Callithrix jacchus: one gene and its partners. The protein of the gene in region 3 interacts with the protein of the main gene of each other region in a pairwise test. Links are inferred from orthologs where the notes say so. Each region holds a gene or a part of one and is shown on either strand. Other genes may lie near its edges.

Region 1 (9,981 bases), on a different chromosome or scaffold from region 3:
GCGGTGGTAGCGGCTCGAGTGCCCACTATGCAGTCAACAGCCAGTTCACCATGGGCGGCCCTGCCATCTCCATGGCGTCGCCCATGTCCATCCCGACCAACACCATGCACTACGGGAGCTAGGGGCCCGCCCCGAGGATTGACAGCACCAGGAAACCAAATGATGTTCCCGCTCGACCCCCGCCGGGCGGCTTTCCCCCTTGTACTGGAGAAGCCCGAACACCCAGTCACAGCCCTCTTTGCTATGGGAACTGGGACATTTTTTTTACACGATGTTGCCGCCATCCCCACCCTCACCCCCACCTCCACCTCTTGGCCCTGAGCGCGTGTCGCTGCCATATTTTACACAAGATCATGTTGTGGGAGCCCTCGTCCCCCTTCCTGCCCGCTCCATCCCGACCTGGGCTTGTCATCTACTGGAACTGGCTGCGGGGAGGGAGCAGCTGCCACCCAGCCCAGGCTGCCCCACCCTGCCTGCCAGGTCCCTCGGCACCTGTCCCCTTGTCTGACTCCAGTGGGAAAGTGGCCTGGCCAGCCAGGGCCTCCCTTCGATGACCAGGCCTCGGTCACAACGGACGTGACATGCTGCTTTTTTTAATTTTATTTTTTTATGAAAAGAACCAGTGTCAATCCACAGACCCTCTGAGAAGCCAGGCCGGCCGGGCCGAGCCAGCAGCCCCTCTCCCCAGACTCAGAGGCACCGCGGGGAGGGGTGGCCCCGCTGAGGCTTCAGGGGCCCCCTCCCCACCAAAGGGTTCACCTCACACTTGAATGTACAACCCACCCCGCTGTTGGGAAGGCCTCCGTCCTCGGCCCCTGCCTCTTGCTGCTGTCCTGTCCCTGAGCCCCTGCAGATCTCCCCCACCCAGAGTTAGAGCAGGTGGCTGCAGGCCCTGGGCCTGGAGGGAAGGCCACCGCCAGCTGCTTGGGGCAGACAAAGACACCTCAAGGATGTGTCATGGAAGGTGTCCTCTTTCCTTGTAGCTACCATTAGGCCTGAGTATCATACCCTCCGTCTTTGTAGACGCTCCAGTCCCTACTACTGTGTCAGCATTTCCGTCCCTCCCCTGCCTGGGAAGGGGCCTTGCAGGGACCTCTCCCTCCAAAAAAGAAAGAAAGAAAAAATAAACGAGGAAATGTGTTGCAGCACAGGCAGTTTCTTCTTCTGCTCCCGTTTCTCACACCCCCAAGTTCAGATGCTGGAGCTCGGGCCCGCCGTGTGTGCGCCCAGGCAGAGCGGGCACTGTCCAGGCTCTCCCTCCTGTGCCAGGGGAGCCGTAGAGGGGAAAGCAGGCAGCCCCAGGGGATATTGGGGCCCTGGCCCTGTCCCAAAGCTCCCTGCTCAGCTGCCCTTCGCCCACCTTTATATAAATTCTCTGAATCACCTTTGCATAGAAAATAAAAGTGTTTGCTTTGTAAGAAAAGTCTGGAAAGTAGCAGAGTCATCTCAAGGTGTCGGGAGCGTTCAGTCACTGTCTGGGGGGCAGAGGGGTTGGTCCACTTAGGTACTGCCTAAAAGAGAGAACTGCCTGAGAATGGCCCCAGGACCTCTTGCCTTCATTGGGGGTGGAAAGGCAGCCCCCTCAGCCCAGCTGGGAACAGTCCCTTACCTGTGGGACCTGGGCCTTCCTAGGAGGGAGCCATGGACCGAGGCAGGGTAGGGGACAGTGGGATGTTTGTGGGCAGAGATGCGGCTTGGTGTGGAGGAGTCACATGCTCTGGAGGCAGCGACTGGAAGAAGTACAACTGCACAAGATCCCTGGGGTCAGAGGCAGGGCCAGCCGACCTGCCCCAGCCCCTCAGCCCACCCGTGGCCACCCCAGACCCATACCTTACAGCCCATGGCCAAGAGGGCGTGGAGCAGCACAACCGTAGACAGCAGCACTGCAGCCACTAGCCTGGTGTCCTCACGGACCACAGGCCACAGGGTGAATACCAGCCCTGCAGCCGACAGGCCCAGAGCCAGTGCCCCAAAGAGCCACTGCAGCCAAGGCACAGGGATGAGCCACAGGACCTGGGAGTGACACAGGCAGCAGGTGACCATGCCAGGGGGCCCCACACAGCCACCACCCACTGCACACCGGGTCACACTCACCACCATGGGGATGAAGACAAAGAGGGAGTAGCCGTAGACACACACGGTCTCCAGGAAGGTGTAGGGCCCCAGGCGCTCCCGGACACCCTTGCGCCACCGCAGGAAGCCCCACAGGGCCAGCGGCACCAGCCACGCGTAGCAGTAGATGCTGATACCTGCCACGGTCACTGGGGGCAAGGCGAGCAGTCACCCCCTGTCCCCCGGGGCCCTGCCAGGCATTGGGCCTGCCCACCTGCTTACCCTTGTGGAATTGGGGGCTGTAGTGGATGGAGGGGTCCCTCCTCTGGGCCAGCACCAGTGTCAGGTTGCCGGTGACAGCTAGGACGAAGGCCAGCGTGGCACAGATCCAGAAGGGGCCTGGGGGTAGGGGGCAGTCAGGGTCCCAGATCCTGTGCTCCCAGGACCACCAGATAGATGTATCCTGACTCAAGTATGATGAGACCCCAGCCTCTTCCTAAGCACCCTGCCTGACTCACCAGGACACCAGGGGCTTCCCGGTGGCTAAGCCCAGTGCCAGCTCTCAGCCCGTCCTCTCCCGGAAACACTGAGGACTGCACACCATCGGCCTGTATCTCACCTCGTTGGTGCCAGTTCCTCAATCACTGTTACCTCCTCTTTGACTCTCTGACCCCTTCAGCCATGGGAAGCATCTGGGCCCAGTCCTTGGCCCCTTCCATGTCTGTGTTCACTCCTGGTGTGACCTCCTCCAAGCCTAGGGCCTTGTGCCTCCCCTAGAGCCTGAGGCTGTGCCCTGAGAACTGCAGCCTCCAGTTCAAGCTCCTAGGTGGGCATCTCTGGCTTCACCCACTACCCTTTCCCTCTGCCCTCACTGCCCAGCTGGTCCCTGGATAAGTAGCAACTCCATCCATTCCGTAGTCCAGGCAGACATCCCTAGAGCCTGCCTCAGCTCTTACCCTCCCACTCCCCACACCCCCACCTGTCTAGCGGCAAAGCCAGTTGCTTCTACTTCCACAGCATGTTCCAGAATCCAGCACCACTCTCTACATCCACAGTCTCCACCATGTGGCCGCCTGCACCCCGGCCTCCTGGCTTCTGCCCTCGCCCCCCAGGATGGTGAGAGGGACCAGAGAACACGTAACTAAGATTCCATCTCAGCCAGGTGCACTGGCTCATGCCTGTAATCCCAGCACTTAGGGAGGCTGAGGTGGGCAGATCACCTGAGGTCAGGAGTTTGAGAGCAGCCTGGCCAACATGGTGCAACTCTGTCTCTACTAAAAATACAAAAACTGGCCTCATGCGGTGGCGTGTGCCTGTAATCCCAGCTACTCAGGAGGCTGAGGCAGGAGAACTGCTTGAACCCGATGGGCAGAGATTGCAGTGAGCCGAGATCACACATCACTGCACTCCAGCCTGGGTGACAGAACAAGACTCTATCTCAAAAAAAAAAAAAAAATCCCTTCTTGCCACAGCACGGGAGGCCTGTGTGATCCATCCCTTTCCTACAGCTCACTTGCTCCAGTGGCAATGCCGTCCTGCAGTTCATGCAAGTTCCCGCCATGGAGCTCATGCCCTTTCTAGAACCATCTTTTCCTAGGTCTCCCACCCATCCCATTGCCAGCAAGGCTCATTCCCTCACCCTCCTCAGGCAGGCCTGCCCTGACGCACCCTGCAAAACAGCAAGGCCATTCCTTCTCTCCACTCTGCTGCTCTACCCACCACCCTCTGCAGTCCTTCATTTCCCCGTCTCCCTGAACAGAAGGTAAGTCACACTCTCTAAGTGACTCATTTGTCCTCAGCTGCACACTGGGGTCTGCAACTCGGGCCACACTTGTGGAGTGATCAATGAAAGGAACCGAATGCATGACCTCACTCACCATATAGATCCGGCCGATTCCGCAGATAGTGCCGCACAAAGTTGTGGCCAGGCCGGGGCAACAGCGAACCTTTGATCCGGTCCAGGACCTGGGGGCAAGGCCGAGGTCAAGGATGGAGGCCTGCCAGGAGATTCTCGTCCTGAGAGGCTCCTTCCCTGCTGACCTCCACCCTCTTCTCTCCATGCCCCACCTGAAAGAGCTTAGCCCTTCCCTCTTTTACTTTTTGAGATGGAATCTCACACTTTTCCAGGCTGGAGCGTAGTGGCACAATCTTGGCTCACTACCACCTCTGCCTCCCGGTTCAAGCAATTCTCATGCCTCAGCCTCCCAAGCAGCTGGGACTATAGGAGTGCACCACCATGCCTGGCTAATTTTTGTATTTTTAGTAGAGATGGGGTTTGCCATGTTGACCAAGCTGGTCACAAGCTCCTGACCTCAAGTGATCCGCCCACCTCAGCATCCCAAAGTGCTAGGATTACAGGTGCCTGTCACCTCACCTGGCTAATTTTTGTCTTTTTAGTAGAGATGGGGTTTCACCATGTAGGCCAGGCTGGTCTTAAACTCCTGAGCTCAGGTGATCCCACCTCAGCCTCCCAAAGTCCTAGTGGGATTACAGGCGTGAGCCACTGCGCCTGGCCCACCTTTGGTCTTCTGCATATGCTGTTCCCTGTGCCTGGAACATACTTCTGCTCCCCTCCACTCTGCCTTCCTTCTCCTTTAGGTCTCAGCCAATTCCTCACCTTCTCCAGGAGGCCTTCCTCTAACCCACCAGATTGTGTGTGTACCCTGTGTTCCCACAGTCCCGATCCATAACCAGTCCCACCATAACCCTTCCAGGGCACCCTGGTTCCTTCACCAGCACCCTGAGCCCCATCCCACCTGCCTCCCCGGACCCTACCTGTGAGGTGTCCACGTCAAAGAAACTCTGATAGTAGTTGAAGGTCCAGAATCCGGGCTGCTGCTGCTGCTTCTGCAGGAGCTACACACAGCGCGGACATTCAGTGCCTGCCCCAACAGCCTGGGTCAGCAGTGGGCTGCACAGAAGCAGGAAGCAGGACAAGGACTCACCGCAGCCTTGTCACTCTCCTCCTCCACCTCATCCTCGGCTCCATAGCTGTCACCTGAGCCCACAGCCACAGCCACGTGCCCCTGTGAGGTTGGCTGATCGCTTCTACTGGTGGTGGCTGCATCTGGGGTCTCAGTCAGAAGATTAGTGGCCTCCTCGAATTCTGTGGAGGGGAGATATGGGACACACGCACTTCTGTGGGGTGGAAAGAATTCGACTGGGCCCAAGCCAAGTCGATGCTCCTCTGGGGGCGAAGGCTCTGCTGGGCCACTGATCATCCCCAAGGCGGGGGCCTAACTTCCTCAGTTTGGAGGCATCCGGAGGACCCCTGTTCCCTTCCTTCTAACGTGGAACTGCAAGTTAGGATTGGCCCTGGGATGAGGTCAGGGTCTGGGGACTAGAGGCTCGGTTGTGAGGTCTGAGTTCACGGCGGGAGCGGGGTTCGAGTCAGGGATGGGTCTCACTCCTGAGTCAGTTCACAGCCGCCCGGGATTCGGGGTAGAGATGCTGGAAGCCGCATGGACGGGGAGGTACTGGCGAGGGGCGGGAGTAGGACATCCCGCCATGTCGGGGCCTCACTCACCGTGAAAGGTCAGCTCGTCGGCCGCTGCCATGGTTGTTCAGGGGCGTCTCCGCATCCCTCGCTGAGGACACAGGCCGATCAGGTCCGCTTCCCTCGTGCCCCCGAGCCGGTCCCTCGGCCCCCAGCCCTACCTGGCGGCCAACAGCACCCACGGAGGCTTGAACTCGTCGCCCAGTCTCCAAAGCTGTGCTCCACCCACCTCACCTGAAGCCACCTGGGTCGGCGTGGCTGGGGCTCTCTGCGCCGGCGCGGCCTGCCTGCCAGTCAGATTGACCCGACTCCGACACGACAGCAACATCCGGCGCCGGGCCTCTTTCTATGCTCGCACGTTGGGAAGCCACTTCCGGTGAAGTTGGCGCTTGCGCAGAAGAGACTGCCGGGTTCTTAACTCGGGTGTCAGGAGCTTCTTCCCCGAGCAGGGATCCCTAAACCAGAAAAGGATGGTCGCGGCAGCTCTGAGGAGACTTTGGTCCCGGCGCCGCGCAGAGGTGGGCGACGCTGTAGCGGCGAAGCCCAGAGTGTGGGCGCGGCTGGGTGAGTAGCGGCGGAAGGCGGTAGGGTGGGTGTCCGCCGCCGCCGGACCACTCTTATCGCGCCCCTCTTCCCTCAGGCTCCTGGGCCCGCGCGCTGCTCCAGGACTACGCCGAGGCCTGCAGGGACGCGGCGGCGGAGGCTCGTGCCCGGCCGGGGCGCGCGGCCGTGTACGTGGGGCTGCTGGGCGGCGCGGCTGCCTGCTGCACGCTGGCGCCGGGCGAGGGTGCCTTCGAGGAGGCGTTGCTGGAGGCGTCGGGGACCCTCCTGCTGCTGGCGCCGGCCACGCGCAACCGCGAGTCCGAAACCTTCGTGCAGCGGCTGCTCTGGCTTCGGGGCTGTGGCCGGCTGCGCCACGTGAACCTGGGGCTCTGTTCGCTGGTGTACGAGGCGCCCTTCGACGCCCAGGCCAGCCTCTACCAGGCGCACTGTCGCTACCTGCAGCCCCGCTGGATCGACTTCCCCGGCCGGATCCTGGACGTGGGTTTCGTGGGCCGCTGGTGGGTGCTGGGTGCCCGGATGCGCGACTGTGACATCAACGACGACGAATTTATGCACCTGCCGGCGCATTTGCGGGTGGTCGGGACCCACCAGCTGCATTCCGAGACCAACGAGCGGCTCTTCCATGAGAAGTACAAGCCTGTGGTGCTCACGGATGATCAGGTGGACCAGGCGCTGTGGGAGGAGCAGGTCTTGCAGAAGGAGAAGAAAGATAGGCTCGCCCTGAGCCAGGCGCGTTCGCTGATACAGTCGGAGGCCCCGAGATGAAATCCTGAGGCCCTCGAGTCCTGGCAAACTGCTTGCCTGGGTGGTGCAGTTGTGATGAGTCTCAACTCCAGAACGACCGAGACAGATGATGTGGAAAGTGTTTTCTCACTGGGTTTGCTCAAGTTTGGGGAGCCTTTGTGCCCTCCGTCGTCGTTCTTTATCAGCTGAAACGGATTCAAAGCCACCTTAGTCTAGGAGTTGGGACAGCAGAATGACTTGACCCATGTTCATCGCTGCCAGAGCTGGTCCTGAGCCTTTTATATAAGCCTTTTTCACTGGGCCTCAGAGCCCCTCCTCGGGGAGGTACCATATTGGTCATGTGACTTACAAACTCCTAAAATCATTTAGATTTTTGGGTTGTGGCCTGGTGTGGTGGTGCATGTCTGTAATCCCAGCATTTTGCAAACTGATGCAAGAGGATCGCTTGTTTGAGAGGTGTTTGAGAGCAGCCCGAGTAACATAACAAGACTCCGACGCTACAAAAAAATAATAATATTAATTAACTTAATAAAAGTTGAGTTGAAATGTTTTTATTATATTATTTATTGTCTCGTATTTATTTATTTATTGAGACAGGGTCTCTCTCTGTCTCCCAGGCTGGAGGGCAGAGGCACAATCTTGGCTCTCTGCAACCTCCGTCTCCCGGGTTCAAGCGATTCTCCTGCCTCACCTCCCCCCCCCCAGTAGCTGGAATTACAGATGTGTGCCAACACTCCCAGCTAACTATTGTATTTTTCTTTTTTTTTTTTGAGACGGAGTTTCGCTGTTGTTACCGAGACTGGAGTGCAATGGCACCATCTCGGCTCACCACAACCTCCGCCTTCTGGGTTCAAGCAGTTCTCCTGCCTCAGCCTCCTGAGTAGCTGGGATTGCAGGCACGCACCACCATGCCCAGCTAATTTTTGTATTTTTAGTAGAGACGGGGTTTCACCTTGACCAGGATGGTCTCGATCTCTTGACCTCGTGATCCACCCGCCTCGGCCTCCCAAAGTGCTGGGATTACAGGCGTGAGCCACTGCGCCCGGCCAGAAACTAAAATACTTCTAAGGGTGAAGCAGGCAGATGACTTGAACCTAGGAGTTCAACAGCAGGCTGGGCAACATGGTGAAACCCTGTGTCTACAAAAATACGTATATGTACCAAAGGCATTGAATGAGTATTGAAAAAATATATACATAGAAAAATTAGCTAGGCGTGGTGGCCCATGTCTGTAGCCCCATCTATTCGGAAGGCTGAGGTGGGAGGATCACCTAAGCCTGGGAGGTCAGCGCTGCAGTGAGCCGTGATTGTGCCACTGCACTCCAGCCTGGGCAACAGAGTGAGACCCTGCCTCAAAAAGTAAAGTAAGTAACATTTTTGTTTTGCTTTTTTGTTTGAAGTTTTTAATTTTTAAGTATAGTCTCAAAATTGGAAAAATAGTAAAGGCATATTGTATATCCTTTGCCCAACTTGCCCCCAGTGGTAACATCTGACATAAGTAATATAAACCAGGAAATTGACAGTGTCGTGACTGTTGGGATGTTACAGGGAAATTGTCTGCAAAAACAACCTGGTTTTACAGATGAGTATTGTAAGTGACTGGAGGTGCCTTGGAAGGATAAAGCATTTTCTGACCTGGAAACCTAAATGGAATCATAGATTCTGATTATGTTGTACTTCAGTAACCTTGAAACACAATTCTATGAAAAGAAATGTTAGTGTACACAGCTGATGCTTAGCTCGGTTATGGAAAATTGCATTTTTGTTGTTATTGTTGTTGAGACAGAGTCTTATTCTGACACCCAGTGTGGAGTGCAGTGGCACGATCTCAGCTCACTGCTATATCTTCCTCCTAGGTTCAAACGATTCTTCTTCCTCAGTCTCCTGGGTAGCTGGGATTACAGGCATGTGCAGTGATCCCCGGCTTATTTTGTATTTTTAGTGGAGATGGGGTTTCTCCATGTTGGCCAGGCTGGTCTCAAACTCCTGACGTCAAGAGATCCTTTCGGCCGGGCGCGGTGGCTCACCCCTGTAATCCCAGCACTTTGGGAGGCCAAGACGGGTGGATCACGAGGTCAAGAGATCGAGACCATCCTGGTCAACATGGTGAAACCCCGTCTCTACTAAAAATACAAAAAATTAGCTGGGCATGGTGGCGCGTGCCTATAATCTCAGCTACTCAGGAGGCCGAGGCAGGAGAATTGCCTGAACCCAGGAGGTTGCGGTGAGCCAAGATCGCGCCATTGCACTCCAGCCTGGGCAACAAGAGCGAAACTCCATCTCAAAAACAAAAACAAAAAATAGAGACAAGGTTTTGTCATGTTGGCTAGGCTGGTCTCGAACTCCTGACCTTAAGTGATCTGCCCACCTCTGCTTCCCAAAGCACTGGGATTACAGATGTGAGCCATCATGCCCAACTCAATTTTTTTTTTTAAGATAGGGTTTTGCTCTGTTGCCCAGGCTGGAGTACAGTGGTGAGATAATAGTTCACTGCCACCTCAAACTCCTGGATGGTAGTGATCCTCCTGCCTTAGCCTTCTGAGTAGCTTGGACTACAGGCAGGTGCCACCACTTTCAGCTAAATTTTTTTTCCATGGAGATGGGGTCTCAGGCTGGTCTTGAACCCCTGGGCTCAAGTGATCCTCCAACCTCAGCCTCCTGAGCAGCTAGTTCTTTGCTTTTCCAGTGGAATATATTATTTCGCAGAGCATATTTCATTGTCTGCATGGACCCCAGTTGGTTTATTCACCCACTTACTTATCGACATCTTAGTTACTTCAAAGCTGACCTGGTACATAATTATTACTGGTCCCCTTGCGGAGCACAGCAGGGCGTCTTTGGCTTGTGGTGAACACGAGAGGGCGCGTGAACCCCCTTTCTCTACCAGGTGAGTGTTAAACCTCTTTCCCACCTGCACTAATTTGTGGTTCCTTGCAGACAGGCCTGATCTGGTGTTTGCCCCGAGTGAGAGTTGATCTGGAAACCATTTGTGGGAAAATTAAGTTAGACTTCCTTCCATTGAAATACAGTGCAGGGGCTGGGCACACTGGCTCATGCCTGTAATTCCAGCACTTTGGGAGGCCTGGGCAGGCGGATCACCTGACGTCAGGAGTCCGAGACCAGAC
Region 2 (10,139 bases), on a different chromosome or scaffold from region 3:
TACAAAAAATTAGCCAGGTGTGGTGACATGAGCCTGTAATCCCAGCTACTTCAGAGGCTGAGGCAGGAGAATTGCTTGAACCCAGGAGGCGGAGGTTGCAGTGAGTGACAGAACGAGACTCTGTCTCAAAAAATAAAATAGGGCCGGGTGCGGTGGCTCAAGCCTATAATCCCAGCACTTTGGGAGGCCGAGGAGGGTGGATCACGAGGTCAAGAGATCGAGACCATCCTGATCAACATGGTGAAACCCCGTCTCTACTAAAAATACAAAGAAATTAGCTGGGCATGGTGGCGTGTGACTGTAATCCCGGCTACTCTGGTGGCTGAGGCAGGAGAATTGCCTGAACCCAGGAGGCGGAGGTTGCAGTGAGCCGAGATTGCGCCATTGCACTCCAGCCTGGGTAACAAGAGCGAAACTCCGTCTCAAAAATAAAATAAATAAATAAAATAAAATAAATTAAAAAGCAAGCAAACCAACCACAGTTTAAGCACGGTAGATTGAATGCCTGTAACTGTCTCAGTGATCCCTCAGATGTCTGTATACTATAGTTTGAGGTTAATTCTCTCCATCCCTGCTAAAATGTAAATTCTTCAATTGCAGATATTTTAACCTCTTGTTCATTGATATGCCTCCAGGGCCTAGCACATAGTAGGCATTCAATAAATATTTATTTAATTATTTAGTTAATGAAGTTAATCAGAATTAGATCATAATAGTGAAGAGCTTATGTTCTGCATTACTAGAAACACATTTTTTAAAATTTATTTTTAGGTGGGTGAAATATACAACAGGAGATATGATGAAAATTCTCCTACTTTGCTTCCCCCAAATTACTTAAGTTTCTTTCTTTTCTTCTTCTTCTTTTTTTTTTTTGATGAAGCTTTGCTCCTGTTGCTCAGGCTGGAGTGCAATGGCATGATCTCAGCTCACCGCAACCTCCGCTTCCTGGGTCCAAGCGATTCTCCTGCCGCAGACTCCTGAGGAGCTAGGATTACAGGCATGCACCACCACTCCCAGCTAATTTTTTTGTTTTTTTGAGACAAAGTCTGGCTCTTGTCACCTACGCTGGAGTGCAATGGTGCGATCTTGGCTCACTGCAACCTCCGCCTCCCAGGTTCAAGCAATTCTCTTGCCTCAGCCTCCTGAGTAGCTGGGATTACAGGTGCCTGCCACCACGACTGGCTAATTTTTGTATTTTTAATAGAGACAGGGTTTCACCATGCTGGCCAGGTTGGTCTTGAACTCCTGACTTCAGATGATATGCCTGCTTTGGCCTCCCTAAGTGCTGGGATTACAGGTGTGAGCCACCACGCCTGGCGCTGATTTTGTATTTTTAGTAGAGATGTGGTTTCTCCATATTGGTCAGGCTGGTCTTGAACTCCTGACTTCAGGTGATCCGCCCCGCCTTGACCACTCAAAGTGTTGGGATTACAGGCATGAACGACCGTGCCTGGTTGTTAAATTCCATACTGAGAGGTAACCACTGTTATCAGTTTCTTCTACATTTTTCCAGTGATATTTTATGGTTCACAAGCATCATATATACAAGCATATTCCTTTCTCTCCTCACAAATATATGCTGTGTCATACCCTTTAATAAATAAACTTTTTCTTTTGGAATTATTTTATTTTATTTATCATTTTAGAGGCAGGGTCTCACTCTGACACCAGGTTAGAATGCAGTGATACAATCATAGCTCACACAGCCTGAAACTCCTGTGCTCAAGCCAGCCTCACTTCAGCCTCCCAAGCAGCTAGGACTACAGGAATGTGCCACCACCCCTGGCTAGTTTTTTAATATTTCTTTGTAGAGCTATTTGTTTTTCTTTCTTTTTCTTTTCTTTTTTTTTTTTTTTTGAGACAGAGTCTCACTCTATCACCCAGGCTGGAGTGCAGTGGCATGATCTCGGCTCATTGCAACCTCTGCCTCCTGGGTTCAAATGATTCTCCTCCCTCAGCCTCCCCAGTAGCTGGGATTCCAGGCATGCACCATCATGTCCAGTTAATTATTTGGATTTTTAGTAGACACGGGATTTCACCATGCTGGCTAGGCTGGTCTCAAACTCCTGACTTCATCATCCACCTACCTTGGCCTCCCAAAGTGCTGGGATTACAGGCGTGAGCCACAGCCCTGGCCTGGAAACTTCTACCTGGTCCCCCTTTGAGTATTCCAAGTTTCTTTACATTCCAAGATTAGGATTGAATAGTGATAATGTAAAGTGCTCAAAAAGTTTTTGCACTCTTCAAAATAGTTTTTTTTTTAAGTCTACTGGCACAAATACATATAGCATTGGGTGATTTACATTAAGCCAATAATTACTTGTACCATGACCTATGTATATGGTTGAGTCCTCTTAGGACCACTAGGGGGCTCTGTTAGAAGGGTTTATATAATTTATGTCAGTCCACTTAGGGGGAATGTTTTGAGATATTTTATAGAGTTCTGAACTCTTAAAACTTGGAAGAGATAATCCAATCCAGTTTTCTCATTTCGCAGATGAGGAAATCAAAGCTGGCAAGAGAGCTGGCATGGGAGTAAACTGGAATTTAAAATTCTCCTCTTGGTACCTGGGGCAGGAGTTTAAGAAATTCTCTTTTGCCTTATGCCGCCACTGATTCACCTCCATTGGCTATTTCCGTATTTGGTGCCACAATTATAATTACTTTTGCTAAGACCATGTGTTTGTGATATTTTTAAAATAAGATATTTTATTGGTTGGCTAGGTGAAGGCAGTACATGAAGTATAAACTTCTAAAATAACATCTTTATTACTCATTCTAAAATGTTCTATTCAAAGTGTTTCTCAGTACCATATCATTATTACTATGAGCCTTAGAAACCACTCTAAAAAAAAAAAATTATTATTATCTTTAGAGATGGAACTTCACCATGGGGCCCAGGCTGGTGTCCAACTCCTGGGCTCAAGCGATCTGCCACCATCGGCCGCCCAAAGTGCTGGGATTACAGCACTGAGCCACCGTGCCCGACCAGAAACCACTTTCAAACTGACTTTCCACTTAAAGTATTTTGCACTTTTTGTTCTGTTTTGTTTGAGACAGATCTGTCGCCCAGGCTGGAGTGCAGTGGCCCGATATCGCTCACTGCAACCTCTGTCCCCGGGGTTCAAGCGATTCTCCTGCCTCAGCCTCCAGAGTAGCTGGGATTGCAGGCGCCCGCCACCATGTCTGGCTGATTTTTGTATTTTTAGTAGAGACGGGGTTTTACCATGTTGGCCAGTCTTGGTCTCGAACTCCTGACCTCAAGCGATCCGCCGTGGCAGCCAAAACATTTTACTCTTACGTGTACTCATTTATTCATTCAATATTTATTGAGTGCCTACTAGCACCAGGCACCTTTGTAGGCCTAGGTTTACAGAAGTAAAGCTCCCCTCCCCCACCCCCAGTGCCCTGAAAAGCACTATAATTGTTTCTATTTCTCCAATTTTCACTTTTATATGAATTTTCACATGCTTTAGTTCAGACATGGGCACAAGAATGAGTGAGAGAGAGAGTGTGTCTTGGGGCCATCCTACACTCTAGGGATGGGCACAGGAGTGAGTGTGTATAGGAGTGGGAGTATGTGCTCGCGCGCGCGAGTGTGTGTGTGTGTGTGTGTGTGTATCAAGCTCTGTATTATCTAAATAGGTCAAAGATCAACATCTGGCTTCTAGATCCATCATCAGGCCTCTCCACGTAATACCTGTCTCAAACCGGATCTGATTCAACAATAACCAGCCTTAATTCAATAATCTGTGCTACCTGAGATGGTGGGAATAATCTTGGTACTATAAATGTTGCAGAACAAAAACGACTGCAGCGGATTTTCTGGGGCTACACCAACTGAAAATGGGCCGGATCGAGTTCCGGGAGAGCGTTTTCCTGCACTAGACGTTTTCCCGCACCCGGCGTTCAGCCACCGGGTTCCGGGTCTAGCTGAGTCAGGAAGGCGCTCCAGCCGATTGCGGCCTCGGGAACCGTTCGGTTGCACCCGAACCTTCGGTCAGAGTCCAGGGGTTGGCAGCCCGGACCACAGCACCCGGGTTTAAACAGAAGTGGAGGCGCCGGGGAGGACCGGCGGTCCCGGCCAGTTTGGAAGGCGCACCCTCCCGGCTCCAGACGCCGGCAGGGCGGAGTCAAGCGGCCGCAGCCCCAGTCGAGACGCGCGCTCGTGGCTCGGGCGAATGGGGGCTACAACGGGAGCGGCTGCGCCGCCCGGCCGGGTCAGCATCATGCGCATGCGCGGACCCGGCGCCATTTTGGTGGCCGGGCGCGGAGGTGATTCCACACTGAGGAGAGCGCGGTGGCCGGGGTGGTAGTGGCAGTGTTCGTGTGCTCGGGTCTGAATCGCTGAGGGAGGAGGCGGTGGAGGAAGAGGTGGCGGCGGTGGCGGTGGTCGTAGCGGTGGCGGAGGAGGCGGGTACGAATCAGCTGCGGGCGGAGACATGGCCAACATCGCGGTGCAGCGAATCAAGCGGGAGTTCAAGGAGGTGCTGAAGAGCGAGGAGGTCAGAAATGAACTCCCGGACATCCCCCACCTCTGCCCGGGCGGGAGGGTCCTCCCAGCGTGACCCCGATATCCCCGGTAGTCCCTGGGTGGCCCTCCTTGCGGCCGCCCTTCTGCCTGTGGGGAAGCAGTAGTGCTCCCCTCCTCCTTCCGCCGCCTTCCCCTCCCCTCCCACAGCGCTAGGATGGACGGTCTCGGCGGGCGGGGGGTCTGGGGTGGAACACAGTTTGGGGAACTGATGGACAGGGGGGAACTCCTCGGCGGGATGGAAGCTCACGAGAGAACCCGAGGCGGTGGCCACAGCTGGAAGTGTGGCTCTGGGGTGGGGAGGGAGCAGGCCGAGCCCGAGAAAACCCGGGAAGTGGGTTGGGGGAAGGGGAAAGGTGGTAACTGTATCCGGAGGAGCCGGTGCTGCTCTAAGGCCCACACTTTTGAGGATATTCTGGGTTATTGCCTGTCAGGCCGTCACCGTCCTTTTCTTAGGGAAGGAGCGGTGAGTCCTTAGGTATCGATTAAAAAGGAAGGACATTCAGAGTTAGTCCTTCTTAGTTGGGTGTTAGGAGTCAAGGGGAGAATAATAGAATACTGTCTTATTCGGTGGCAGGGATAAGGGAATTTTCACCTCTGTTAGCAAGTTAATTCCAAATGAGATCGTTATGTCTTTTCCACTTTACCCCCAAATTCCTAGGCCTCGTCTTTATCGACATCTCAGTCTTTGAGTGGGCAAAGGCAAGGTGTTTGGTGTATTAAAGACATTTAAATATTTTTAGTTAGAAAAAAAATGGAATGTAAGAGTAGCTTATTTCAAAATATTGTTTACAAGTTACAGATCAGAGAGACTGTCCTAATACAGTACCTCTGTGACTAGTGTTGTGCCACGAAACTTCATTATGATGTCCCTCATAGTTAACTTGATTCTTACTTTTGAAAAGTAGACCTATTAAAAACGTGTGCTTTTACCAGATTAATACACTGTTTTATCTCTTTATTGAGTAGATTTATCACGATATAGCAGATTTTCAAAAAAATTGCCTCCCGTTGCTCTTAAATCCTGCAGAATTTAGATATATTAGTACGTTTAAGTAAGATATTCACAATGCTCTAGTAATTTGACTCAGAATTACATAAGTATTAGTACAGTTTTTCATACCAAAAATCAACAAGAATACCAGATTGCCTTCCCCACAAGGATTAAACAAAAAGTAATACAGAAAATGGTTATTTTCAAGATTCACGTACCATTATTGAATATATCGTTGCTTTTGTGTTTTTTCTTTTACGGTTAGTACTTCGATAATGTCGATAGTGATTAGTGAAATTCAGCATTCTAAGTATGTGATGAGTAGACATGAAGAAAAAATTGTTTAAAATTCAAAAATGACAAATAGGCTTCTTGAAAGTAGTAGTATGTAAGTCATGATCAGTTTTACAGAGCATGTGTATGAACTCTGACCTCTGTTCATATGCCAAAACTCTGAATGGAAGGATGACTTTGTATTTTGTGGTACAGTGCAGAAACAGAGTCATAAGTGTTTGTATTGATAACAGTGAAACAGCAATTTTAACTTAATATGAAAATGTATTCCAGGATATTTGACATATATACTTCTAATGGAAGATAGCAGCTAATATTGTTGCCAACAACCTAAAACATTTCTTGTTTAATAAGGTTGTAGAAGCTTGAAACTTAATAGACTTTTAATGCTTTATTTTCTATTACTGAAAAGTGGTAAGTTACTACTCTAGTAATTTATATGGTCTCTGCTTTTTATGAGCTGACTTCACCGTGGTATTCTTAGTACTTAACTTGAAGATTACCAGAAATACTTGTATTGCTCTCTAGTAATGCATATTGTTAAAATAACACTGCTCATTATACATAAGGGATGATGGTTTACTTCAAATAAGTATCATAAGCGTTTCAGAAGAAGAAAATAGGGACGACAAACTTTTTTTTTTTTTGAGAACAGTACCTATAGAAATATGGAAAGAAACTTCTTCTAGGAAAATAAGTTGCAAAGAACATTTAGGAAAAGTTCACATCACTTAATCTTGGAATAAATATAACCAATAAATAGCTTATTTTCACCATTATTTTTTGACATTTTAGTGTCCCAGATCTATAAGTAGATTGTTATTTTCAACTCATTGAAGGACTTGTAGTACAGTCCATGTGTTTCCTTTTTAAGGGTGTAAATCCAGTCTTTTGAATGGCTGATCAAATAACTATTTCATCATGTCACTTTTTTGGTAAATCTGCACTTTACCAAAGTTTATTTCATATGCTTGTGTGCTTGTGTTTAGTAAGAACACTGGTTGATTTAAGGACTTTTTGGGGTGGCCTTTTAAGTGTCTTTGTAGAGATAGCTGACGCTTGTTGGATTGTGGTGGCCATTCTTAGAGTGTGTTAATTAAAATACAGCCAACAAGATAAATGTGAAAAGCAAGATACAGAATAGTGTGGGAGAGGCCACCATTTGTTTCAAATGGAGGGGAATATGTGTATTTGCCTGTGCAGGTAAAAGGTTTCATGAGAAATTGGAAAAATTGACTGCTTTCTGTGTAGGGGAATTGGGTCTCTGGGGCATGGGGAGTAGATATTTTTTGAATTATGTGTCATATGAACGTGATTTACTCAAAAAAGGCACCATTTGGCCTCTTTCCCTTAAGACAGTGTTTGGAAATTTGTCAGATGTTTCTTTTTAATTTATTAATATTTATTTTCTTTGTTTTAGATGTTTATTTTTAAATATGAGTATGAATTTTAAGTCGTTTTAAATAATATTCCAAAGTTGTTAGGCATGGAATATTGATATAAAGTACATTTTATAATTATTTTATGAGTTGGATTACATAAGTAAATTGTTGATTATGAGGATATAAAACCCTCTGAAGAGGCACATCTAAAAAAAAGGATAATTATTCATAGGTTGTATTTTTTACTATTAATGCTGCTATTAGTAACTAGCTGCCATTTGTAGAATGGCTGGTTGTTCTTAGTATCATTTGTTTATACATTATTGCTAATTCTCAAGAACAGTTCTTTAGATTTCCTATTTCCTAGGTGAGAATATAGAGATTCAGGCAAGCTAAATTATTTGTCTGCAAACATGGAACTTGGGATTTGGATCTAGGTCTGCTTGTGTTCATATTATACCATGCTGTCATGACTTTCCAAGGATAGGCATGCTTTTATTTATTTAAAAAAAATCGAGCTTGGTTTGTATTACTGGTTAAAGGATTTAAACACAGTTCAATCTCATTGAAATAGTGTTCCCTATAATTTAAGATTTAGTTGAATTTCTGAGGCCGGGCGCAGTGGCTCATGCCTGTAATCTAAGCACTTTGGAGGCCAAGGTGGGCAGATCAACTGAGGTTGGGAGTTTAAGATCAGCCTGACCAACATGGTGAAACCTCATCTTTAAAATATATATATATGAGAAAAAAACCCAAGATTTAATTGAATTTCTTTCTTTCTTTTTTTTTTTTCTTTCTTTTTTTTGAGAAGGAATCTCACTCTCTCGCTCAGGCTGGAGTGCAATGGCGGGATCTCAGCTGACTGCAACCTCTGCCTCTCAGGTTCCAGTGATTTTTCTGCCTCAGCCTCCCCAGGAGCTGGGATTACAGGTGCCCACCACCATGCCCAGCTAATTTTTGCATTTTGGGTAGAGATGGGGTTACACCATGTTGGGCAGGCTGGTCTCAAATTCTAACCTTAAGTGATCTGCCCGCCTCAGCCTCCCAAAGTGCTAGGATTATAGGCATGAGCTACCACATCCAGCCAGATTTACTTGAATTTCAACATGTAAAATATTTTAAAATTTGAAACTAATGAAATAAAACACCCTTAAATCAGTGCATTTACTCTTGCTTGGTCTTATGCTGTAGGGCACTTGTTGGTTTTTCAGGTTGTAATTGCACTTTGGTATTATTTTCTAGTATTCTCATAGAGCATGTTTAAATCTGTTGCATAAACAAATTGGTTTCATGAAAATTACTGTAGAACATTAAGTTTTCTGTCATCATTTAAATAGATTTATATAATATTTTCCTTTAAAAAAATTGTTTTTTTGAGACAGGGTTGCTCTGTCACCAGGTTCTAGGCTGAAGTGCAGTGGCATGATCTTGGCTCACTATAACTTCCGCCTCCTGGGTTCAAGCAGTTCTCCTGCTTCAGCCTCCTGAGTAGCTGGGACTACAGGCACACGCCACTATGCCCAGCTAATTTTTGTATTTTTAGTAGAGACGAGGTTTTACCATGTTGGCCAGGATGGTCTCGATTTCTTGACCTCATGATCTGCTCACCTTGGCATCCCAAAGTGCTGGGATTACAGGCGTGAGCCACCGCGCCTGGCCTTCCTTTAAAATTGTAATATATTTGATGTCGCTTGATCTAGATTATTCTATACCAGAAGTAGTTGCAAATCTCTAAAAGTAAGTCTTTGATTTCTGTAGACCATGGGTTTCTTAAACTTGGCAGTATTGACATTTTGGGCAGATAGTTCTTTGTTGAGTGACTCTCCTGTGCATTGTGAGGTTTTTTTTTTTTGAGACGGAGTTTCGCTCTTGTTACCCAGGCTGGAGTGCAATGGCATGATCTCGGCTCACCGCAACCTCTGCCTCCTGGGTTCAGGCAATTCTCCTGCCTCAGCCTCCTGAGTAGCTGGGATTACAGGCACACACCACCATGCCCAGCTAATTTTTTGTATTTTTAGAAGAGATGGGGTTTCACCATGTTGACCAGGATGGTCTCGATCTCTTGACCTCGTGATCCACCTGCCTCGGCCTCCCAAAGTGCTGGGATTACAGGCTTGAGCCACCGCGCCCAGCCTGCATTGTGAGATGTTTAACAACATCCCTGACCTCTACTAGTATATGCCGTTAGCACCATATATTCCCTATCCCACCTCCCCAGTATCTCTTCTTGGTGGATGCATCAACTAAAAATATCTTCAGACTGCTATGTGCTGAGAACCAAGTAGACAAAACTCTTTTTTTTGAGACAGTCTCTTGCTCAGTCACCCAGGCTAGAGTGCAGTGGCATGATGTCAGCCCACTGCATCCTCCACCTCCTGAGCTCAAGCCATTCTCCTACCTCAGCCTCCGAGTAGCTGGGATTACAGGCGCCCACCACCGTTCCTGGGTAATTTTTGTGTCTTTAGTAGAGATGGGGTTTCATCATGTTGGCCAGGCTGGTCTGACAAAACTCTTTAAAAAGAGTATTTATGGGCCAGGTGTGGTGGCTTATGCCTGTGTTCCAGCATTTTAGGAGGCTGAGGCTAGATTGAAGCCAGGAGTTCAAGACCAGCCTGGGCAACATAGGGAGACTTTGTTACTACTAAAATTTAAAAAAAATCAACCAGGCATGGTAGTGTGTGCCTGTAGTTCCAGCTACTCGGGAGGTCAAGGCTGCAGTGAATTGTGATTATGTGACCACACTCCAGCCTGGGCGACAGCAAGATCCTGTCTCAAAAATGAAAAAAGAAGATGATTCCTGGTGGAGGTTGCAGTGAGCTGAGATTGTGCCACTGCACTCCAGCCCAGTGACAGAGTGAAACTTCATCTCAAAAGAAAAAAAAAAGAACACTTTGAGACTTAACTGTATCAGATGTGTAAGATAATTTAAAGAATAAAT
Region 3 (9,367 bases):
CCAACAATGGAAGTCATAATCAAAATCTTGATATATGCATTCAAAAAACCATTATTCTGACTGATGCAGTAACACTGAAAAAGTCTTGTGACCAAGTTATCAGACAAAATTGTTTGGACACTGTGGTCACAAGTACACGACAGTATGCAGGTATATGGATAAGTTATGGATTAAAATTTCTTTTAATATTGTTACACAGAATTTTTACGTTTAAAACACTTTAATGTTTTCTGATTATAAAAGTAATATATGCTTGCTATAAGAAACTCACACATTACCGAAATAATTGACAAAGAAAGTCAGAGATCTTCTATTCACCCTCCCACTTCACAGCCACTCCACTTTACCTCTGAAATAACCACTGTCAGCAGTTTGGTGTATCACGCTCTGTTTTTTTTCCCTGCGCATGTTCTACACTGAATCATCTTTCACATGAAAAAATTCAGTAGCAACAATATTGTGAATAAATAACTCCTTTTTTTTAAAGCATGAGCTCTGTGTTAGGCACCATGTTAAGCACTGGCACACACAAATCATGTTTAATTTTTACATTAGCTTCACCTGCATTTCACAGATGACCAAACTGAGGCTTGGAGAGGTGAAATAACTTACCAAGGAGTACAGTTTAGATCTAAAACTAGGTCAATTTGATCTGAAAACACATGCTTTTCTTTTCTTTTTTTTTTTTTATTGGAGTGCTGGAGTGCAACGGTGCAATCATGGCTCACTGTAGCCTCAACCTCCCAGGCTCAAGCAATCCTCCCATGTTAGCCTCTTAAGTAGCTGGGATCACAGGTGCACCCTTCTATGCCTGGTTAATTTTTAAATTTTTCTGTACAGACAGGGTCTCACTTTGTTGCCCAGGCTGGTCTCAAACTCCTGGGCTCAATGATCCTCCCACCTTGGTCTCCCAAAGTGCTAGGATTAGAGGCCTAAGCCCTGTGCTTGGCCTTCATACTCTTAATTACTGTGCACATCTTTCAAATATTTATTCTCTTCCCCTGCATCCCTAGTGAGAGGTTTAGAACAAACGATTTTAAAAAGAATAAAAAGAAGACAGATTATTGGGCCAAATGCTTTTCATAAAGAGTTCACTGGCCTTCATTTATGAATCTTTTGCAAGTCACAAAGTAGCTGCTCTCTGTCACACACTGAGAAGCCTTTAGTTCTAAACTTCTTGGCAGATGGTACCATCTATAAAGCCTAACAGCTGACTTTATGAGAGGACAAATCTAAAGGGAAGGAAAACAATGAATTTCCATCTCCTCAATACAAAATGCCTACTACTCAGTTCATGGTTGAACCTAAGGGCTCCTGGGACTGAGGCTGCCTTACCCAGGAAGGTGCAATTGTTTCATCAGGAACCCCAGATTCATTCAGTGCACTCCTGAGGACTAATCATTCTGCTTCCCTTTTACCAAAATCTATATGAGCTTACCAGTCCTCACATTTGGTAGGATTATGTTCCTGGGGCAGAGTATGCCAAAAAAAAAAATCACTAGCAGCTGCAGGTGCTTATAAATGCTAGAGGTATGCTCCTCGGTCATACAGACCAGGACCTCTGGCTTTCAAGGGCCTCTGATTCCTGCATTAGTTGCTAATGCTCTGGAGGAAACCAAAACCTGGGAATATTAAAGTGGTGTCACCTGGTGGTCAAAAGCGGGGACTCCAATACCAGCCAGATCTGGGTTTCCGCACTGTATGTGTGGCCCTGGACAGGTCACTTCACCTATCTGGGTCTCAGTTTCCTCTTTCGTTAAATGAGTTGATGTGAGGCTTAAAGGAGATCAAGAATATAAAGCTCTTAACATATAGTTATTTCCATATAGTAGCCATTCAACAAGTGTTCACTGCTAATATTATTATTAAGGATAATCTGCAGAAGAGAACTTAATTTCTCTCTTTTTTTTTTGAGATTGAGTCTCACTCTGTAGCCCAGGCTGGAGTGCAGTGGTGCAATTTCAGCTGACTGAAACCGCTACCTCCCGGGTTCAAATGATTCTCCTGTCTCAGCCTCCAGAGTAGCTGGGACTACAGGTGTGCACAACCACAGCCGGCTAATTTTTCTATTTTTAGTAGAAACGGGGTTTCACCATATTGGTCAGGGCTGCTCTGGAACTCCTGACCTTAGGTGATTCACCCACCTTGGCTTCCCAAAGTGCTGGGATTATAGGTGTGGGTCACAGTGCCCAGCCAAGAACCTTAATTTCTATCAATATCCCTGACTCAGTAATCCTACTCCTGGGAATCCTAATGAAATGCCATTATTCAAACTAAAGAGTGTATAAAGATGGTTACTGTAGCATTACTTAAAGAGCAAAATGGGGAAACAACTAAAAGGTTCTTCGATGAGGAAAACCCAAATTATAATGCATCAAAGCTCAATGGGTTCCCAGTAAGAGCACAGAAAAAAAAATAAATAAATAAAAACCTCAATGGGATAAATGGCGCCTAAATAATAAAGAGGATACTTCAGAGCATCATAAAACCTGCCAAAATTAAATTTTAAAGCAAACAGAATGGTGATGGCTACATAAAAATACATATACAGAGCATACAGATGAAGAGAACATGAGGAAATGAGAATATACTTGTTCCAGGCTCTTGGCAATGTGGGTAAATATTTTGCTTTTAAAATTTCTTTAACATTTTAACAGAATTTTTTTTTTTTTTTTTTGAGATGGAGTTTTGCTCTTGTTACCCAGGCTGGAGTGCAATGGCGCAATCTCGGCTCACCGCAACCTCCGCCTCCTGCGTTCAAGCAATTCTCCTGCCTCAGCCTCCCGAGTAACTGGGACTACAGGTGTGCACCACCACGCCCAGCTAATTTTTGTATGTTTAGTAGAGACGGGGTTTCACCTTGTTGACCAGGATGGTCTTGATCTCTTGACCTTGTGATCCACCCGCCTCGGCCTCCCAAAGTCCTGGGATTACAGGCTTGAGCCACCGCGCCCGGCCCACAGAATTTGTTTTAAGAGTAACATTTGATGTAAATATGCAAAAAATTTTCAATGTTTTTGTTCCTAGCCACTAGACCACCAGGGATAAACATGCACATTTTTTTTAGCCAGTAATTTTACTTCTAAGAATTTATCCTAAGCCAGGCACAGTGGCTCACGCCTGTAATCCTAACACTTTGGGAGGCTGAGGTAGGAGGACTGCTTGAGTCCAGGAGTTAAAGACCAACCTGGGCAACATAGTGAGACCTTGTTTCTACCAAAAAATAAAAATAAAAAAAATTAGCTTTGCATGGTGGTGTGCACCTGTGGTCCCAGCTACATGGGAGGCTGAGGTGGACTGCTTGAGTTCAGGAGATTGAGGCTACAGTGAACCGTGATAGTGCCACTGCACTCCAGCCTGGGCTACAGAGTGAGACCCTGTCTTATCCTAATAAAATAATAGTGAATATGCTCATAAATTTATCTATAAATTCATCAAAATATTTCTAAAATTGGAAAAAGAAAGCCGCTAAATGTCTAACAAAGGATTGAATTATGTTAAATCCACAAAACTAAATGCTAAACAGCTATTTAGTAAAATATTGCTGGCAATGTAAAATCTCAAGATAAGTCTAAAAGACTCCCACTCGCACACAGAAGGCACTTAAATATCTGAAGTACAAATGAAATTTTGAGAGGGTTACAAAACAGGAGCCACATAGTGTAAAAAACAAAAACTGTAAAAAGTATACACATATCTGTAAAATACACGCACAGATTTATAAAATTTGTGTGTATATATAAATATAGAAAAATGGAAAAGAAAATAGAACCAAAGTGTTTCTTTCCAGTGGTTACCTCTGATTGGTGTGATTGTGATTTTTTTCTCCCCCTCTTTTCCTTTCTGTATTTTATAAGATTTCTTTTACTTTTATAATCAAAGAAAAAAATGATAAGGCTAAGAAGGCAACTTCTAAAGCCATCAGCTCATTTGTAGAAGCTTCTAGAATGTTTCTCACCCCTCTATTCTCCGGCTCTGGCCTCTGTCCTTGAGGACGGGGAGGGGTCTTCTCTCTGAAACAGAAATGGTGTAAAATAAGTCTATTACAAAATGCTTTCAGTTTCTCCCTATGAGGACCAGGAGCTCTTCACCAACAGAGTCAGGGCCATAGCCTCTTTCTTGCCCAGGACATGAACTTATATGCCAAATTAATTCTCCAAATACTAACTCTTCGTTCTACCTGCAACTGTTCTTCCCATCTGTATAGAGAACAAGGGAGAAAATCAGCTTGTTATGAGATATTCATCAGATTGCACTACAGCCTACTCCATTCACAGAGATCCTGACTCAGATGGTTAGGAACATGGCCAGATGCCTTCCCTGGGTCTGTATGATACTGGGCCTGTCACAGATATCAGAAATCCCAAATCCAAACTGGAGTAGAGGGTGGGTTGTCAGCAGTGAGGGCTGAGGTTCGTCGTTTCTTTGACCTTGCCTATTAACTTCAGCTCTATCTCCCACTATTCTTGGGCAAATACCCCATGCTATTATTTTCAAGTCTCAGCCACTCAGATCACTCAACCCATGAATACTCAATTGAGGGCTTAGTTATACAATAAGCATTATGCAGGATGCTATAATACTAAGACTGATGACAGACCCAACTCTTGAGGTATTCATGGTTTCAGGGGGATAGAACCAATCACACGACAGTTTGCTGGGAACTGGGTGAGAGCAACTAATGTGGAGAAGACAGACCACTTCAAGGAGGGGACTATAGGGCTGCTTATGAGAGATGAGTAGAAGTTAGAGGAGAAGGTGGGGGTACAAGGGTAGCTTGAGCAGGACTGGGGAGGGCAGAAGGCAGAAGAGAGAGCAAATACATAGGCTGATAAATGTGAAAGAGCAAATCCCTTTAAGTGAAGTCTAATATGTCCGGTACACAGCATATGCTAGGCTAGGTGGGAGAAGGTAAGAGATTCTTCTGGAGAGCTTGGGAATGCCAGACCGTGAAGGACTCTCAGTACTTTTGTTTGTGGAATGCTGGATCCTACTCCATTTCTATAAATCCCAAACTCCACAAAGTCACCCAGATCCTGTTTCCTCTACCCCCATGCTTGTATACATCACTGCTGCGGCAAACGTACTCCCTGGAGCCTCTCCTGCACACATCCTGCTTCCCAGGAGGCGGAAGTACTGTTTCACAATGCTCTGCACACTTGTGATTGTGATGTCTGTTCACTGCTGGGTCCCAGCAAGTGGTAACTTGGATCCCCTCTCCTTCCTCCCCTCCTGGCTGACTCTCACCTGGATGAGACTGCTTCAAAACCAAGGGATCATCTAGTAATAAGTAAAGGGTGGGGTTAGGAGATGTTGAATCGGAGTGAATTCATGTCCAAGAGAAGTGGGTAGGAGCGGCATCCTAAGTCCTCACCTGGGGTCCTGTTGCCCAGTGCTGCCCCTTCCATAGAGGGGGATGACCTTGTCTCGGCTGATACCAGCTTTGCAAACTGGACACACCTGTCTGTTAGGTCTGGTTTCCAACCACTGCAAGCAGGAAAGAAAAATGCATGAATGGCCCAAGACCCACCAGAGTGATCAGCTAGAGCCATGAGAACAACACAGGCCAGAGGCCTCAAACTGGGAAACACCAGCATGAGCACAAACACCTCAAGAAACCTGACTACCATTCCTTCTCCTAGCAATCAATAAATACTTACCAGTGGTAAAATCAAAACTGCCTTTAAATATCATCATAATTGGCCAGGCACTGTGGCTCACACTTGTAATCCCAGTACTTTGGGAGGCCGAGGCGGGTGGATCACCTGAGGTCAGGAGTTCAAGAACAGCCTGGCCAACATGGTGAAACCCCATCTCTACCAAAAATACAAAAATTAGTTGAGCATGGCAGTGCATGCCTGGAGTTCCAGCTACTCAGGAGGCTGAGGCAAGAGAATCACTTGAAGCCAGGAGGTGGAGGGTGCAGTGAGCTGAGATTACGCCACTGCACTCCAGCCTGGGAGAGAGAGCAAGATTCTGTCTTTAAAAAAAAAAAAATCATAAATTAAACAGGCTTCTTCATGCTTTATTTCTCTCTAGGGGTTCCTAGCAACACAGAGGGAAGGAAACCGCAAGCCTGGGGCTGTCAAGTCTGACATACTCAGCCTCAATTTAGGCTGCTGGTATGAGTACAACAAACTTTAAATCCCTATCTTCCCAGTAGTAACAACTGTATTTTCCTGTCAGTAACATTTTTCTTTCTATAATTTTTTTCCCCCCCCAGAAGGATTCTTGCTCTGTCACCCAGGCAGGAGTGCAGTGGCACCATCTAAGCTCACTGCAACCTCCACCTCCCAGGTTCAAGCAATTCTCCTGCCTCAGCCTCCTGAGTAGCTGGGATTACAGGTGTTCACCACTGTGCCTGGATAATTTTTTTATTTTTAGTAGAGATGGGGTTTCACCATGTTGCCCAGGCTGTTTTCGAACTCCTGACCTTATGATCCACCTGCCTCGGCCTCCCAAAGTGCTGAGATTAGAGGTGTGAGCCACTGCACCTGGCCGATTTCTCATTTTTATAGCATTTCCCCAACAACTGTGTAGCCCAGGCATCAGAATCAGGAGATAAGCTTATCATTTTCTGGTGACTACCATGTGCTAAAGGATAGGATTTGCTCATTATCTAAATTTGCTTAATGCTTTTTATGTACTTTCATTGATTTTTTTGCATTCAACTATTTCTTTCAATATAAAAAAATCCTGTTTTGAGTTTCTCAGGTCCTTTCACTGTTTAAAAATTTTTGTTTCAGCCAGGTGTGGTGGCTCACGCCTATAATCTCAGCACTCTGGAGACTGAGGTAGGTGGATTACCTGAAGTCAGGAATTCAAGACCAGCCTGGACAACATGGTGAAACTCCGTCTCTACTAAAAATCCAAAAAAAAAAAATTAGCCGGGCATGGTGGCATGTGCCTGTAATCCCAGCTACTCGGTAAACTGAGGCAGAAGAATCACTTGAACCTGGGAGGCAGAGATTCCAGTGAGCCAAGATCTCGCCATTGCACTCCAGCCTCGGCAAGAGTAAGACTCCATCTAAAAAAAAAAAAAAAATTTAAGGTGATAAAAATGTGTTTTCTTTTCTTTCTTTTTTTTTTTTTTTGTTTTCTTTTGAGACAAAGTCTTGCTCTGTCGCCCAGGTTGGAGTCCAGTGGCACAATCTTGGCTCACTGCAACCTCTGCCTCACAAGTTCAAGCAATTCTTGTGCCTCAGCCTCCTAAGTAGCTGGGATTACAAGAGAGCACCAATACGCCTGGCTAATTTCTGCATTTTTTGTAGAGATGGGGTTTTGCCATGTTGGCTAGGCTGTTCTCAAACTCCCTGCCTCAAGTGACCCACCTGCCTTGGCCTCTCTAAGTGCTAGGATTACAGGCGTGAGACACCATGTCTGGCCAAAACATGTGTTTTTATCGACATTCTATAAACAAGAATCTAGGACTTCAGGGCTGAGGAGACAGCAGCATTGAATGATTTCATTTTCTACTTTTACTGTTCACAGCTCCAAAACTTATGTGTTATGTGTTCTTCAAAAACTCACAGTCAATATGTTCTACCAGGTCCTGCTGGGGACAGAATGTCCAGCCCTGTCCCCACCTTCTTTCTCCCATCCAGATTCTGAGGCTTTAGCAGTCTGGAACTTCTATCTTCCCCTATATTCCCAGGCCACCAACAAGTGTGGTACTCTACAACCTTGGAGACATTCAGCTGACTGTGATTATTCACAGCCACTTGTGAATGCCAGGCCCAGCTCTGTCTCACCAAGCAGGTGCTAAAGCAGGGAAACAGACTTTTCCCTCCTCATAAAAGCTCTTTGTTGATACCAAAAAAGTTTTACCCTTCCTAATATTTTCAAAACCTTTAAGGGCTCGGAGACTGTGATATAATAGGAGGTACTGTTTTAGTAGAAGCAGAATCTCAAAAATAAAAAGGACCTAACATACGATCAATCCACCCCAATTTATAAATGAGTAACTGAGACCCATAAAGGCCATCTATGGCAGAGGTAGGACCATCCCGACTTCATCAAGCACCTGTCAGTGGGCAGGTATGTAAAGAAGAGGGGTAAGTAAGCAAATGAGTCTATAAGCAGGGCAGATTGCAGCTTCTGACAGCAGTCTCCTGAGATGAGAGCTGTCTTGTGCAACCACAGCTGATGAAAGACAAAGTAAAATGAGATGCACCTTACCTGATGTAAACACGGCCAACTGCCAGAGTCCCCAGGGCAACCAGTCATCAAGAAGGAGAAAGGGGGAAAGGAAGAAAAATGCTTTCATTAGCAGAAACACTTGATAGGTAGGGTTGTAGTAGCAGAACAAGAAAACAGGAGAAAACTATGAAGCACTGCATCTCCACTGAGGTTCTGTAGGGATTACTGGTATTGGAAATTAGAAAACACTGGGCTAAAATCACAGAAAAAAATGACGCAGTGGAGATAAGACCCCAGTCTCTGCCTTTGGGATCTCGGTGTATGTGAAATCCTCAGGGCTCAGATCACATAGACCCAGCTTCTCTGCAAATCAACCTGTGAGGATTATAGCATTTGAAGGAATCCAATAACAGCTCAGAACCCCCTATGTGAAAAAACTGATGGGGGCATGCACATTCACATGTACCACACAGTATTTTACACTCAATTTCAGTGGGTTCATAGTCTCCTCAGGCTCTGTGTGTGGGATGTGTGGACTCTCAGGTAGTTCATAGAAGTTTAACAAAATCTTCAGGCTGTCTTCATCCTTGAGAATTCTCCTAGCAGGAAGCAGCTTAAAAGTTCACATCTACTCTAAAAGCATCTTTAAGTAATGAAAAGTATGGGAATGCTACTTGACAGAAAGGACTACTTTTAACTTAGAGAGCTGATGTCCAATCTCTCCATTTTCAAATGAGGAAACCTAAGCTCAAACATAAAATGAATTGCATCAGAATTTAATAAAAAAAGTCTCCTGAGTTCTAATTCACTGCCCTTTCTATAATCTAACATTGCATTAAAAAAATATTTACAGAACTGAAAGAAAACAATTCAATTCTATATTTTAAATTTCTTCAAAAACAATTTTTTTTTTGAGACAGAGTTTTGCTCTTGTTGCCCAAGCTGGGGTGCAGTGGCACAATCTTGGCTCACTGCAAGTTCCACCTCCCGGGTTCAAGCGATTCTCTTGCCTCAGCCTCCTGAGTAGCTGGGATTACAGGCATGCACTACCATGCCTGGACAATCTTTTGTATTTTTAGTAAAAATGGGATTTCACTATGGTAGCCAGGTTGGTCTCAAACTCCTGACCTTAGATGATCTGCCTGCCTTGGCCTCCCAAAGTGCTGGGATTACAGGTGTGAGCCACGGCACCTGGCCCACATTTTTTATTTATTTCTTTCATTTATTT

The links.
Region 1: the proteins of RNF185 (region 3) and YIPF2 interact in binary tests that used the Homo sapiens proteins (3 or more experiments, as listed by UniProt). The two-hybrid records come from large-scale screens. The link is inferred for Callithrix jacchus from reciprocal best matches to the Homo sapiens genes RNF185 and YIPF2.
Region 2: the proteins of RNF185 (region 3) and UBE2K interact in binary tests that used the Homo sapiens proteins (3 or more experiments, as listed by UniProt). The link is inferred for Callithrix jacchus from reciprocal best matches to the Homo sapiens genes RNF185 and UBE2K.

What each region holds. Positions count from the first base shown.
Region 1 is NC_133523.1:10,091,052-10,101,032, forward strand, and holds YIPF2 (protein YIPF2), read right to left. Parts: upstream 5,869-9,981; 5' UTR 5,610-5,868; coding exon 5,579-5,609; intron 5,159-5,578; coding exon 4,998-5,158; intron 4,909-4,997; coding exon 4,828-4,908; intron 4,018-4,827; coding exon 3,930-4,017; intron 2,452-3,929; coding exon 2,335-2,451; intron 2,262-2,334; coding exon 2,095-2,261; intron 2,014-2,094; coding exon 1,831-2,013; intron 1,746-1,830; coding exon 1,629-1,745; 3' UTR 1,610-1,628; intron 1,529-1,609; 3' UTR 586-1,528; downstream 1-585. Other genes in the region: histone-arginine methyltransferase CARM1, read left to right, coding at 1-122; TIMM29 (mitochondrial import inner membrane translocase subunit Tim29), read left to right, coding at 6,019-6,112, 6,189-6,877.
Region 2 is NC_133504.1:154,115,598-154,125,736, reverse strand, and holds the start of UBE2K (ubiquitin-conjugating enzyme E2 K), read left to right. Parts: upstream 1-4,253; 5' UTR 4,254-4,442; coding exon 4,443-4,505; intron 4,506-10,139. UniProt on the Homo sapiens protein: Accepts ubiquitin from the E1 complex and catalyzes its covalent attachment to other proteins. In vitro, in the presence or in the absence of BRCA1-BARD1 E3 ubiquitin-protein ligase complex, catalyzes the synthesis of 'Lys-48'-linked polyubiquitin chains.
Region 3 is NC_133502.1:201,700,996-201,710,362, reverse strand, and holds part of RNF185 (E3 ubiquitin-protein ligase RNF185), read right to left. Parts: intron 8,198-9,367; coding exon 8,179-8,197; intron 5,488-8,178; coding exon 5,375-5,487; intron 4,014-5,374; coding exon 3,959-4,013; intron 1-3,958. UniProt on the Homo sapiens protein: E3 ubiquitin-protein ligase that regulates selective mitochondrial autophagy by mediating 'Lys-63'-linked polyubiquitination of BNIP1.